Rhinolophus ferrumequinum: one gene and its partner. The protein of the gene in region 1 purifies or fractionates together with the protein of each later gene. This does not show direct contact. Links are inferred from orthologs where the notes say so. Each region holds a gene or a part of one and is shown on either strand. Other genes may lie near its edges.

Region 1 (6,471 bases):
CTGGACATCTTATTACCTGCTGGATCTCTCCTGCCATGCTGACTGCAGTGCCTCCCGGCCTCAGCCACATCCTTTTCCTCTTTGGTGTCCTCAATGCTGCTCTGGATTCTGTCCTCCATGGGGCATTTGCGCTTGGATGCTGAAGAGGGCACCAAGAACTTAACATAGACTCCTCCAGGGAAGGAGGGTCTGGAAGAACTCCCCGACGGGACATTCAGACCCTTAGACAGATGGAAGTACACACAAACGTGGCAGCAACAGCAGCAGAAATGAAAGAAACATTCCTATAACATCCATTTGCTCCGGACAGAGTATATAGGGACAGAATAATTATTCTTTAACATCATGAGAACATCTCACTGCTCTTCCTATTCTTACTTCCAAGGAAAATAAATACTAAGCAGTGTCTCTACTTAGACCCTTTGAGACTTGAGACTATGTGTAATGTAGATATTCACACAGAATTCAGTCACTGGGAGAAGTATCTTTACAGTGACCCATACTACCTTGTTGGAAATAGCACTTCAGAGCTTCCAATGTTAGAACAGAAAAGTAATTTTAAATGTAGAAAAAAAGAACGGGACATTTATTTGTAACTCACAAGAACCACCAAGCAATAAGGGAAGAGATTAAATACAAACAGTGAGTTCCAGCCCAGCCCTATGTCTCCAAGGCTGGAATCTCTGGAGAGAACACCCGGACAACACAGGACCTGTCAGCGACGCCTCCGGTCTGGACTCCTGCTGCGTCTTCGGCCACCTCTAGGGAAAATGAAGGGAGGGAGGTCCGTCAGAGGGACACAATACAATGTCCTTATTCCATTTCACTCATATTCCCTTCCCCAAGACGGTGTGTGCCCTCTCCACTTTACCTCCTCTTGCTCTTGGGTGGACCCCGAACAAAACACCAGTCCACGCTGATTGGCTGTCCCATCAAATCCTGGCCATTGAGTCCTTCCATAGCAGCCTGGGCCTCCTTGTATGTTTCATACTCAACTAGAGTATAGCCCTAGGGCAAGTGGAAAGGCAGGTATCAAAACCCTCCTATTCCACCGAGCTGTTTTCTACTCAAGTAGGACAGTCCATGTGTATAAACTTTAAACAATGAATATATATCAGAGGGTGCCAAAAAATATATATATACATCTTAAGAAAGGAAAAACTGTGTTAAAATTGTAATACTCAATATATACCGATAACAAAAGATGAATACAAGTCATGTGTATACATGTTTTTGGCACCCCGGTATATCCCTACTGTATTTACAATATGTTGTCTGTTTCTTTCCTAACAAAATCAATTTCCAATGATATTTTATTTCAGCTTTGCTCTTGGCCAACCACACCAAACATGGGAGGCAATGGAGTGTAACTTAGGATACCTTCAGGTATCCTGTACGCCTGTCCAGGTTGAGGTGGATATTTTTTATTTCCCCATATTCTGCAAATTTGTCATGGATGTCTTCTTCCGTGGCTTCTTCATGGACTCCAGTGACAAAGAGAATCCAGCCTTCAACAGCTGTTGGGGAAAGGAGGGAGGTTGTTTGAGCCCATGAGAGAAAAACTTCAAGCAAGATCACAGGAGTGTGAACTCCAGAGACTGGTTAAGCTATCTCTGACCCCTTTCCTACTGGTTTTACTTTATTAGTCCCTCATTCCTACACAGACACCTACAGGCTCCATGTTACTTACAGCGTTGTGGTCCAGGTTCATCGCCATCCTGCTCCACGCTGTCATAATCCTCACGCATCCGCGCTCGAGACCCCTCTTCTAATAAGAAACATACACGAGATCACCGGAAATCCCTTCTCCCACCGTTCCCCAGGAATCAGAATGGGGACTCCAAAACCCGTAGCTCTAGCCGTTCTAGACCCCCCTTTCCCCACAAACACTCACCGGAGCCAAAGCCGCGGCCCTTCCGTTTCTTCGCTTTTTCCTTCAGTTTGTGGATGCTCTCTGCGCCCCATAAGTAAAGAGTAAGTAACAAAAACAACACAATAGTCTCTCTCCCAAGACAACATCTGAAAGCGGACCCCCATCGCCTCCCATCCCAGTCCCTTCCCAGTCCCGCCCCCAGGTTCTGCCCCGAAGGGGGCGGAGTCTCCACTCCAACCGAAACCCGGTTCCCCGCCTCCCACCCTCCCTGCCGGGAAGAATGGAAATTGTTTTCCTAGTACGCCCTTCTGTCGCACCTTCCCCGCTTCCCGCAGCCGCCTCCACCGTCCTCACCGTCCCCATCCTCATCCATGGCGAAATCTTCGCCCCCGGCCTCGTGAAGATCCAGCACATCCGCCATCTTGCCTTCGTTCTAATTCTCGTCTGTGCCGCTCAGGAACTAAGCATCTCGGGAAACTGTCGCGGAGGGGAAAGGTCGCCAGTCAAGATAACCAATCAAAAGCCTACTCTAAGTCCCGCCCATCGGTGCGGTGAAAATACGTCCTGGAGGCGGGCTTAGTCCGGGAAGAGCCGGAAGTGTTCCTGTAGCCATTTTGAGCAGGTCGTGAGCTGGAAACAGTGTTGCCGTGAGAGACAAGCTAGGGGTAGGCGGAGATGGTGGCTTCCTCCTATTTAAGGCTGCCTTGGAGAAAAACTACTGACGATGGAGCTCAGCCTAGTTTCTTTAGTAGATGGCTGCCTTCCGTCTGTTTTCACCCCATACTAGGAAATGGAAGTTGATAAAAGTTTTTTCTCTCAAAACTTCCAGGCCTGTACCCTGTTCCTGGGAGCAGCCGGATCTGTGATGGAAGCATTGTTAAAAAATGGTTCAGTCAGCAATGCTGGCTCCAAGAGCTGCTTCTGGAACACACAGTGACGGCACCGAATTTCTCTCTTAAAGAAACTAACAAACCTAATTGTCTTGAAATTGGATTGGTGAAAAAAGATAAACCAACTTTTTCTTTTTTTAAAAAAAAGCTAAACTCCCAAACTCTTCCCACCACCTCTGGGAATTAAAGGAAAAAAAAAAAAGGCATGGCTTCAAACAAAATAGGAGCTTTAGCTTTTTTGAGAGCATGCGGGTATTTCATGTTTAAAAACCTAGGAGAAGAGGCAAAACCCATATTGTCCCCAAATTCTGGAACCCTGACACAGGCCTTAAACAATAGTAGACTGCAGATTCCCTTATTAATTTTTTAATCAAACAGTTATGCATGCCTGTATATGCGTGTGTCTAATATTAGAGGAGGTGCTGGCAATACAAGGAAAAATAATTGCATTATCAACAATCATAATTACATTTGTAAGTGATAACTGCTATCACAAAGGACTCCGGCAGTACAAAGAAAGTGCCTAATAGGACTGGGGGTAAGGGAAGTCCATGTAAGGGACAGCTTCGGTTTGAACAGGGCCTTTAAGATTTGGTAGTTTTCCAGTCAATGTAGTTGTATTGAGACCAGGAGACACTAATCTATTCTCCACAGTAGGTAGCGGGATCTTCTTCAAAATTAGTTGGTCACATCCCCCTATTAAAAACCCTTCCTTGAATTATTTTTGCACTTTGAATAAAGTTCAAACTCACAGCCTGCCCTGCCTATGTCTCCAACCTCTTCCATCACCATTCTTCCCTCTCATGCATTACGCTCTCCCTACACTTGCCCTCAACTCGGTTGTATTGCACTGTTTCCCATCGCAGGACTTTATGCAGCTTTCTGTTTCTGATGGTCTTACTCCAGCTCTTCACATGGCTAGTTCAACCCCATCCTTTGTGTCTCCCTAAAATACTATGGTCACCCAAAGGGGTCTTCTCTATCCTATCCTTCACTCTGTTTATGCCTTCATGGAACTTAAATCAGAATCCTTAATTACCTTGTTTACTTTCTAATTTGTTTAATGTGTGTTTTTCCCATTAGAATGTAATCCTTATGTCAAGAGACTCATATTTACAACTGTATTCGCAAAGTTTAGAACAGTGCCTGGCTCAAAGTAGACATTTGGTACTTACTGAATTAATGATTATCAGAATAGCAAGAAATTCTGTATGCTTGATGCTGTGTGACTAGGAAATAAAGCTGGAAATACAGTTTAAGGCCAATGCTGAAGATTCTGGAACTTATCCTGAAGGAAATAAATTTCCCTACTTCAAGTATTTGCATATTCATTATTTTTAACATTTGTAAATGGGCCTTATTCTATTTTTATTAGCATTTTTCCTTAAATAGACTGACTTTTTAAACAAATTTACACTAAATTTAGATATCACTATCATATGTGGAAAACCTATGTTTTTTACTACAAATTCAGATAAAAACGTAACTAGTAAAGATGAAAAATGTTTGCCCATCTACCACCCAAAGTCATCACAGGTAATAGTAAGGGTTCATATATAAAACTTTGGGAAATACTGCTAAAGGTGAAGATAGCTAAGTGATTATTTAAGCAAAGGAGTGGTACAGTCGTAAGTATTTTAGAAAGAAATCTGACAGTAATGTGGAGGATGTTAAAAATGAAGGCAGAGACTAGTTAGGAAACTATTGCAGTGGTCCAGCCCAGAGATGATAAAGGACTGAATTAAGGCAATAAATATAGACAAAACAGATTAGAATGTTTACACAGGAGGTAAATGCAACAGTAAGTGGCTTATTAGATGATGCTAGGGAAGAGTTAAAGATGGATCTGGGGTTCTAGCTTAGGTAACTGGGTAGATAATAATTCCAATAACAGATCTGGGGAATCAGGAGCATGTATGGAGAATTGGATTTTATTTTGGATATGTGAGTTCACAGAGCTTCTGTTATATTCAGGTGGTGATGTTCAATATATGGAAATATAGATGTTAAGACTCAAAATAGGTTGGGGTGGAAGAAATAGATTTGAGAGTCATGTATGATACAGTTTAGACCACCATGATGGGTGAGATTGCCAGTGATATTGTGTAGAGCTCAAGGAGAAAGGATTAAAGACAAAATCTAGGCTCCTCAAATGTCTGGAAATGGAGAGGCAAAATGTCTTCCCCCAGCAGTACAATTTTATTTCTACCACCCAAAAAAATACTAATAAAAATTCTTTTTTAGTATACCTATATGTAAGAGAAAGGGTTATTTTCGAGCTCCTCTGATACATAGGTCTCAAGAAAGAGTCAATCTGGCTCACTAGACAAAAATCTATTTTTAATTGTATAAAATTATACATATAAAATACATAGAAAGTACTAAAAAGATAAGTAAAATCTTTAACAGCAAAAGTGTACAGATCAGGGAACAATTTTTCTCAAGTCCTTTGAGATCTTACTTGTTGGTATTCTAGAAAAACAAATCCAGGAAGTACGAGGACAAGTTCTTCCCACAACTCACACCCCTTAACACTTCCCCAAGAAAGGAGCATAGGAGAAATGAGGGTTTGTGATTTCCAGATTATAAATATCAATAAAAACTGAATAGACACACCTATTTTTAAATGTAGGAGCCTCTGCTCCAACCCTACATGTGCTTCATGGAACAGAGAGAAGGGGTGTGGAGAATTCAAGGAAGTCCCTTTCAAGAACTAGTAACAATTGTTGCTAGAGTCCTTACCTCTGATCCCATATGTACTGGTCACCAAGATGATTTCAAACGCAAGAAAGCTGACTTCCATCTTGTCCCTGTCTGATCCAAAAGAACAAACTGTGGCCTGTTTCCTAACCTATTTCTGAAAGCAAAGTGTATAACTGTTAAATGGGAAGTCTAATTGTAAGCACATTATACTTCCCAAGTTCAGTTTAGAAAGTGCATTGAGCTGAACTATAGTATAAAGGAGACTACAGAAACAAGGGGGAATTATACCTTAGAAGACCTACAAAAAATACTCCCAAAGGTGAATGCTTTAGCTGTTCTCCAGATCCCATCTCTCCTATTCCACCCAGGAGAGAGGTGGGCGGAGAGAACGGTATTAAAAAGCAATCCCTGATAGCTGATTATTGATTCTCTTTCCCTTCCTGCAGTCTCCCAAGGTTCCAATTAGGAAGTGCCATAATGCCAAAGTCTTCTCTGATTTTCCTGATCTACTCATGCTTTAATAGTGTGGAAGAAGAGGAGAGAAAACAAATGTGAATCTAAGGTAGTAGACAGCAGCAACTTCATGGCAGAGAGAGGAACATGGTCCTCTCCAAATAGGATAGGTCATTTTTCCAAAGAACAAAATAATGGGAGGAGAGAGAAGAGGGAAATAGGTTTTACCTTTTATCAATCTCTGCAGGCAGGAAGGTCTAAATACAGGGCTTAACTAAGCTGTGTGAGCAGGGGAGGAAGAGGAGGGAAAAGTGAAATACTGAAAACAAGCAACTTCAACCCTGACCCCTTCTGTAGTGTAGAGTACGTCCAGGCATCTGGACTACCGGTATGGTATCTCTGCCCCAGATGCAATTTAGGTGATAATCCCCTACAGATTGTGTTTATACTTCCTCTTGTTCCTGGGCACTTTCTCAGGAATACTTTAAAAACAAGAAACCGTATCTCCACTTCCTTCCAAATAATAAAGTAAAGAAGCCTCAAAATGAAGGA
Region 2 (7,757 bases), on another chromosome or scaffold:
TCAACCCCATTTCACAGATGAGAACACTGAGGCTCAGAGAAACTAGATACTTGCAGGGAGTGCAGTTAGTTAAAAGGTGGGACTAGGATTCCAATCTGAGTCACTCTGTTAGTCCAGTATCTGTCCTCCTTTAACTGTACCAGTTTTCCTAAACTTTAGTCATTTGAAAATCATCTTTATGTGTTTTTTTTAACCATATCTGTATTTACCTGTTAGTGGTATTTTTTTGTTGAATGGACTGACATTTTTTACTTAAATGTATTTATTCAAAAGGAAAGTTTATTTGGCTACCATAAATGAGAACTCATGATATTGAAGATAAAAAGAATAATAATGATAATAAAGAATGATACAAACATAGTGAAAATCACTAAATCACTGATGAACTGTCTGTCACCTGTTGAAGGTCTAACCTGAGGTTGGCTCTCTCTGTTAATGAAAAGATTTGGAAGTAAGAAGTTTTGTCAGAGTCATCTAACTACAAAGCTGTAAAAGGGAATTAAAAAAGATACAACTTGAGAGGGGCGGTGTGGGGTCTGGGTGTTAGTGATGGAAGGGAGTACAAGGGGCTTCTAGGGTCTGGAATATTCTGTTTCTTTATCTGGTGTTAAGTTACATGGGCGTGTTCATTTGTGAAAATTCATGAGTTATATATCCATTATATTCACTCTTTTTTATATCTCAATACAATTTACTTTAAAAAGTTTTATGAAATAAGTTTTATTGATGTGCAAAATACAATAAGGAAATAGTATGTTGTTAATGGTATGTGTTTCTTTTTAGACTACGGTGGTGCTAGTAGAGGCATATTTTAAATCTATTTTACAGGAATTTAATGATCTGCCTACTTAGAAATAACTTGCAGAAATAAAGGTCTGCACTAATTTCTCGGTACATGTGGGAAATAAGATGGAAGTGGAGATGGCTTCTATTACCTGTAATAATTTGCCAGCAAGTGACAATGTCTCTCAGCTTTATTATTGGGGAAGGGAAACAGGACTTTATTGGGGAACAGTGTGTATCTCCAGGACTTTTCCAAGTCAAATTGTTGTCCTTTCAATCTTATTTGTGGAGGGCACAGCTCAGCTCCAGGTCCAGTTGCCACTGTTAGTTGCAGGGGGCACAGCCCACCATCCCTTGCGGGAGTTGAACCAGCAACCTTGTGGTTGAGAGCCAGCGCTCCAACCAACTGAGCCATCTGGCCACCCAGGAGCTGAGCAGCACCTCACTGACTTCATTCTAGTTGAGGAGGGCATAGCTTGCTGGCTCCTCAATGTGGGAATTGAACTGGCAGCCCCATTGCCTGGAGCTCGCGCTCTAACCAACTGAGCCACCTGTCCGACCCTGTCAGCTTCTTAATGTTGGTAAACAGCTGCTCACCTGAGATCTGCAGTAAAGAACTCAAAGTAATCGTGTGCAGGCAGCGGGTGTAGCTGCTCTTCCAGCTGCTCTTTGGTGAGGCTGGGAGGAAGGCGCCGGATCACCACCTGGGGAAAGGAGGCTGGCTGGGTTTTGTTTCACTCTTACTGTATTAACCTTCAATTATTTCAATGCTTGGTGACCTATGTGTATGCTCAAAGGAAAATATAAACCTTCAAAAGCACACATTTTAGGAACAGTTAAGGAACACATATATGGACAACATGGCTGTCAAAAGGTTAATGGGAGTTGAATAATTGAGAAGGGATCAGTGAGGTCAGAAAAGGCTGAGCTTAACAGTTCTTTTTCATGCAATCATGTCATTACTACCAAACAACACTTCACGTGACACGTACTGTCTGTGCCCCCAGTGAAAAATAACAGCTCCTGCATTCTCTCTGCATGATAACCCACAGTAGAAGGTAAGATCTACGCAGGGAATGTATGTATGTTGGAATTTTTGTTACCAACAGTAGCAAACCAACGGTGTATTTGCTGGTTCTGCCAAGAGGAACTCCGCCTGCACTGGACACCTTTCGCCTCCGGTCCACAGTGTCCACATCGCGGGTCCTCACCCACCGCGCCACCAAGCTTTCCAGGCTCTCTCTCTTGGCTTCACTATACTGGAAAGGACCTTTGGCGAGCCGCCGTTCCCCTTTCGTGCCCCCTCAGGCCGTGGTCCAAAGCACTGTGGACAGCTACTGCCCCTCGCTGGTGAGCCCAGTGTCTCAGCTCTACACGCTGAAAAGACTTTTCTTCCTTCCCAATCCATAAAGAACTAACGTTTCAGAGGGTGCTGAAAACTCTTGTCTCAGGCGGTAAGAGTTGCTCGCCGCAGCGCTGCCCGGCCGCTGTCCGCGGTGCTGATTCCCCCGCTAGCGGCCCCGCCCCGACTCCGCCCAGCAGCCCAGCTCTGGACACCACCCACCCACCCACGGAACGCACCACCCTTGGTCACCCCCCTTGGTCTCCCCCCCTCCACTGCCACTCCACCCCTTGGCCTCGCCCACTCCCTCTCTCTCCTGATCACCACCCCGCACTTCCACTCGCCCCGCCTCCCCCTCTCGGTCTGGACCAATCTCTTCTCCAGACGTTTGCTCGTACCACCCCGTCCTCGTCCCGCCTCGGCTCGCGGAAATCCCTCCTTCTCTGGCGAGGTTTGCCGGCACCTCTCAGCCCACCCCACTCCTGCCCTCGCATCCCCGGGTCCTGCCTAGGACTCAGCTCCTCTCCTCCGGGGTTTCACGCACAACCCGTTCTCGCTCCGCTCTATCCTGCGAAGCACGTTCCTCCTTTCGCGAAGTTTGCTTGCATCGCCCCGTCCTCACCCCGCCCCCGCTCCTTGTCCCACACCCACCTTGCTCAGGACTGTCCTCTTCTCGCGAGGTTTGCCTGTGCTGCTCCCACAGCTGGAGGACAAAGCCAGCGGCGATGCTGGCTCTCGCCGCGGCGACTCTCGGCGGAACTGAACTTCCGCAGCCGACGGCTTCTCCCTCCAGCTCTGGCCCCGCGCAGCAACGGCCGCCCCGGGGCCTCCGGCACACTCCCTTTCCGAGCGCATTCCGCTCCCGCCGCAGAGTCGCCGCCGCCTCCCGCCCCGGCCTAAACTTCGCGAGAACTGGAATGCCGCCGCCCCCACTGCCACCCCCACCCCCTGGTTCAGATGCCGCCCGCCCCTCCCTCCTTCCCCCTGCCACGGTCCCTGTTACCCACGTCCGGTTCTGGCCCACGACCTCCGAGCCCGCCCCTCTCACGGGGTTGGAGACACCCGGGAAACAGGGGCTGTCGGACTGGGCCCGGATCCCAAGCCTGGAGTCTGGTGTCCCGGTACACGGGGTGCCCCTGGACCCGCACCTCCGACCAGCGCTCTATTGTGTGGTCAACCGAAGCAGCGGTCTGGGTGGTTGAGATGTCGAGACTGCCCGCACTCTCCTGCAGCCCGGACTTCGTAGAGTCTTGGGACGAAGGAGGGTTCCAAGGCCTTGGAGATCAGCGGGAAATTCAGCACCAGAGGACGTTTGGCTCCAGAAGGAGCCTTTAATAAAACTCTGAAGGGCTGAAACTTTCCCACGGAGGAGAGCTGGTCCTTTAGCTAAACATTCCTGAGAATTACATTCACGCGCTTCATAAACTATTTACAGCTATTCTTTTCCAAAGGAGTCTGAAAGTTTCAACAGAATAGTAATTGTACTCAAGAAAAATCAACCAATTGACAAACAGCACAAATGGCTACATGGCTTTGCTATTCGGAATAGAATAAATGTACCAGAATTGAGAGCAGAAATTGGCCAGCGTGGAAGGTTCAAGCGCTCAGGTGTCAACGCTGACTACGCATCACAGGCTGGGTTAGAGTAACTAATAGACCCACGGCACCCACAAAACAGGGCCTTCAGAAGGTTTTCCAATACGATTTTTACTCAGCTTTTTGGGGCTCTCAATGGAACAGCAACCAAGCCAGATTTACATTTGTATACTTTTCTTTTACAAACATGCAGGCAGTGACACTTGGTTAGAATAACATAGATGAAAGTTTTTCGTTTTTAAATGCTATATTTTATACTTTCTCACTTTTCTTTATGCATGTTGGCCACATTTTATTCACAGCACCTTTATCCCAAGAATTTCAAGTAGAAATCAAAAAAGAAACCAGAAAATGGAGTAAGTGAGGCATTAAGAGATCAAGGGAGTCACTCCACCCAACAAAAGCAGAATATACTTCTCAAGCAAATAGGGCACTTTCTGCAGGATGGAGCACAAATTAGGCCACAAGATAAGTCTTAATACACTTAGAAAGATTGAAATCACACCAAGTATCCTTTCCAACCACAATGGAATGAAACGAAAACTCACAAAATGTGGAAATTAAACAACACACTCAAACGGCCAATGGGTACAAAATCATGAGAAAAATTAGAAAATAAGACAAATGAAAATGAAAACACAACATACCAAAACTTATAGGTTGAAGCAAAAACAGTGCTCAGAAGGAAATTTACAGCTGTAAAGGCCTATGTTAAAAAAAAAAAAAATCTTAATTCAATAACCTAACTGCATACCTTATAGGAGCTAGAAAAATAACACCAGAACTTAACCCAAAGGTAGCAGAAGGAAGGAAATAATAAAGATTAGAGTGGAAATGAAAAAAAGACTAGAAAATTAACAGAGAAAGTCAACAAAATCAAAAGTTGGTTCTTTGAAAAGGTATACAAAATTAACAAACCTTTAGCCAGATTGACTAAGAAAAGTAAAGAAGAGACAAGAGACTCAAATTACTAAAATCATAGAAGGGAAATTGTTACTGACTTTAGAAAAATAAAAAGGATTATAACAGGATAGTATGAACAACTATACACCAACAAATTGAATAACCTAAATAAAATGGACAAACTCCTAGATACATACAAATTACCAAAACTGACTCAAGAAGAAATAGCTATAACAAGTAAGGAGGTAGTATTAGTAATCAAAAACCTCCAAACATATATTAGAAAGGCCCAGGACAAGATGACCTCAGTGGTGAAGTTTACCAAACATTTAAAGAATTACCACCAATTCTCAAACATTTCTAAACAATTGAAAAGGAGGGACACTGCCTAATTCATTCTATGAGGCCAGTATTACCCCGATACCAAAGCCAAAGATACTACAAGAAAACTACAGACCAATATCTCTAATGAATATAAACATCTCAACAAAATATTAGCAAATTAAATTCAGCATTATATTAAAAGGATCATACACCATGACCATGTAGGATTTATCCCAGAATTGTAAGGGTGGTTCAATACACAAAAAGTCAATGTAATATACAACATTAATAGAATGAAGGGAAAAAAACCTGCAAGATGTTATATAAATGAACCAAAGATGGCTCTTGTATACTGCTCTCTATGTTGTTTACTTCACAGCGGGCTGGAATGGTTAGCTCCAGTCCACCAGCACCAAATCAAATTTTTACACTTGCAATTATTTTAAATATAGCCCAAACAATATATCTTTAGCCAATTAGAGCCTGCCTGTTCTGCATACCTGGCAATACTACACACAGCATCCACTAGCATAAATAAGAAAAACCCCAGGCTATAGAAGACTCCAAGCTGCTGCTGCACTGAGGATTTCTCTAACGCAGAGACTGCCATGTTGCTACTACTACATCACCAAGACATGTGAACCTCCTCTGTGATTCCCCTCCCCCAGGAGTTCCCTTGCCGTGGTCCCCTTCTGGGTGGAGGTCCCACACTGTTGTCTTTGGAAGGGGCTACCCCCTCCTACAACTTGTCAAAGCACAGCTTAAAGAAAGCTACCCCAAACAAAATGTGCTACTGCCACCTCATGGTCATGTCTTTTCCTTGAACAGACCTGAAAATCTAGAACTCATTACACCTGACCATCTCAACTGATCAAAAACAAAGCATATGTGCTACTGCCACCTCATGGTCATGTCTTTTCCTTGAACAGACCTGAAAATCTAGAACTCATTACACCTGACCATCTCAACTGATCAAAAACAAAGCATTTGATAAAATCTGCACCCTTTCCTGATTAAAAACAAACAAACAAACAAACAAAACGCCACCACACACTCAGTATATTATGAAGAAAGGGAACTTTTCTAACACCACAAAGGGTATCTGAAAAACTCACAGCTATCGTCATACTCAATGGTGAAAACTGAAAGCTTTCTCTATATGATCAGGAATTAGACGAGAATGCCTACTTTTGCCACTTCTATTCAAAACAATAGTGGAATCCTAGCCAGAGCAGTTACGCAAAGAAAAGAAATGAAATGAATCCAAATTGGAAGGAAGAAATAAAACTCTCTCTATTCGTAGATGACATGATCCTATTATTGAGAAAACTCTAAATAATACAACGTACACACACACACACACACACACACACACACACAAACACACGCACAATGTTAAAGCTAATAAATACATTCAGGATACAAAGTCAATATACAAAAATCAGTTGTATTTCTATTCACTAGGAATGAACAATCCAAAAAGGAAACTAAAAAAACAATTCTATTTACAATAATATCCAAAAGAATACTGAGGAATAAATTTAACCAAGGAGGTGAAAGACTTGTAAATGAAAACTACAAAACAATGAAAGAAATTAAAGACATAAATAAATGGAAAGACATCCTGTTCATGGATTAGACGACATAATATTAAGTCATAAAAATTCAGTAAAATCCCTATCAAAATCCCAATGGCTTCCCCCTCCCCCAGAAATGGAAAAAACTACCCTAAAATTCATATGAAAATTCAAGGGACTCACAATATCCAAAACAATCTTGTAAAAGATTACGTTTGGAGGACTCACACTTCCCAATTTCAAAACTTTCTACAAAGTTACAGCAATCAAAACAGTGTGATACTAACATAAAGGATATACATATGGACCAATGGAATAGAATTCAGAGCCCAGAAATAAACTCTCTTATTTTTTGACATGGGTGCCAAGATTATTCAACTGGGAAAGGACAGTCTCTTCAAGAAATGGTGCTGGGAAAACTGAATATCCACATGCAAAAGAATGAAGTTGGACCTTTAACTTACATTTACAAAAATTAACTCAAAATGGATCAAAGACCGACAACTAAGAGCTAAAATTATTTTTTTAAAAATCTTATAAGAAAACATAAGTAAAAATCTGCATAACCTTGGCTTTGGCAATAGTTACATAAATATGACACCGAAAGCAGTCAACAAAAGAAAAACTAGATAAACTGGACTTCATTAAATTAAAACCTTTTGTGTATGAAAGGACACTATCAAGAGAGTGAATAGACAACCCAAAGAATGGGAGAAAATATGTGTAAAACATGTATCTGGTAAGGGTTTAACATCCAAAATCTGTAAAAGAACGCCTACAACTCAACCACAGAAAGATAGCCCAATTTCAAAATGGGCAAAAGACTTGAATAGACATTTGTCCAAAAAGATAAATAAATGATAATAAGCACAGAATAAAATTAAAAAGAACAGGAAAAAGCTTTGGTAAGGGTGCAGAGAAATTGAAACCCTTGTGCTTGGTGGTGGGAAATGTAAAATGGTGCAGCCACATGAATAAAGTTTGCCAGTTTCTCAAAGAGTTAAGCACAGAATTATCACATGACAAAACAATTCCACTCCTAGGTATATACCCAAAGAACTCAAAACAGGGACACAGATATTTATACACCCATGTTCCTAGCAGGATTATTCACAATAACCAAAAGGTGGAAACAACTCAAGTGTCCATCAACAGATGAATATGTAATATACATATAATGGAATATTATTCAGCCATAAAAAGAGAATGAAGTTCTGATAAAAGCTATAATA

Evidence for each region. The genes of interacting proteins can lie anywhere in the genome.
Region 2: the proteins of RBM8A (region 1) and UPF3A purify together in Homo sapiens (co-immunoprecipitation; 4 studies listed by BioGRID and IntAct, with this or other methods). This does not show direct contact. The link is inferred for Rhinolophus ferrumequinum from reciprocal best matches to the Homo sapiens genes RBM8A and UPF3A.

The regions. Positions count from the first base shown.
Region 1 is NC_046305.1:50,159,111-50,165,581, forward strand, and holds RBM8A (RNA-binding protein 8A), read right to left. Parts: upstream 2,374-6,471; 5' UTR 2,295-2,373; coding exon 2,228-2,294; intron 1,955-2,227; coding exon 1,895-1,954; intron 1,769-1,894; coding exon 1,691-1,768; intron 1,518-1,690; coding exon 1,381-1,517; intron 1,009-1,380; coding exon 872-1,008; intron 762-871; coding exon 716-761; 3' UTR 557-715; downstream 1-556.
Region 2 is NC_046287.1:56,480,506-56,488,262, reverse strand, and holds the start of UPF3A (regulator of nonsense transcripts 3A), read right to left. Parts: upstream 3,034-7,757; 5' UTR 2,981-3,033; coding exon 2,777-2,980; intron 1,488-2,776; coding exon 1,381-1,487; intron 1-1,380. UniProt on the Homo sapiens protein: Involved in nonsense-mediated decay (NMD) of mRNAs containing premature stop codons by associating with the nuclear exon junction complex (EJC) and serving as link between the EJC core and NMD machinery.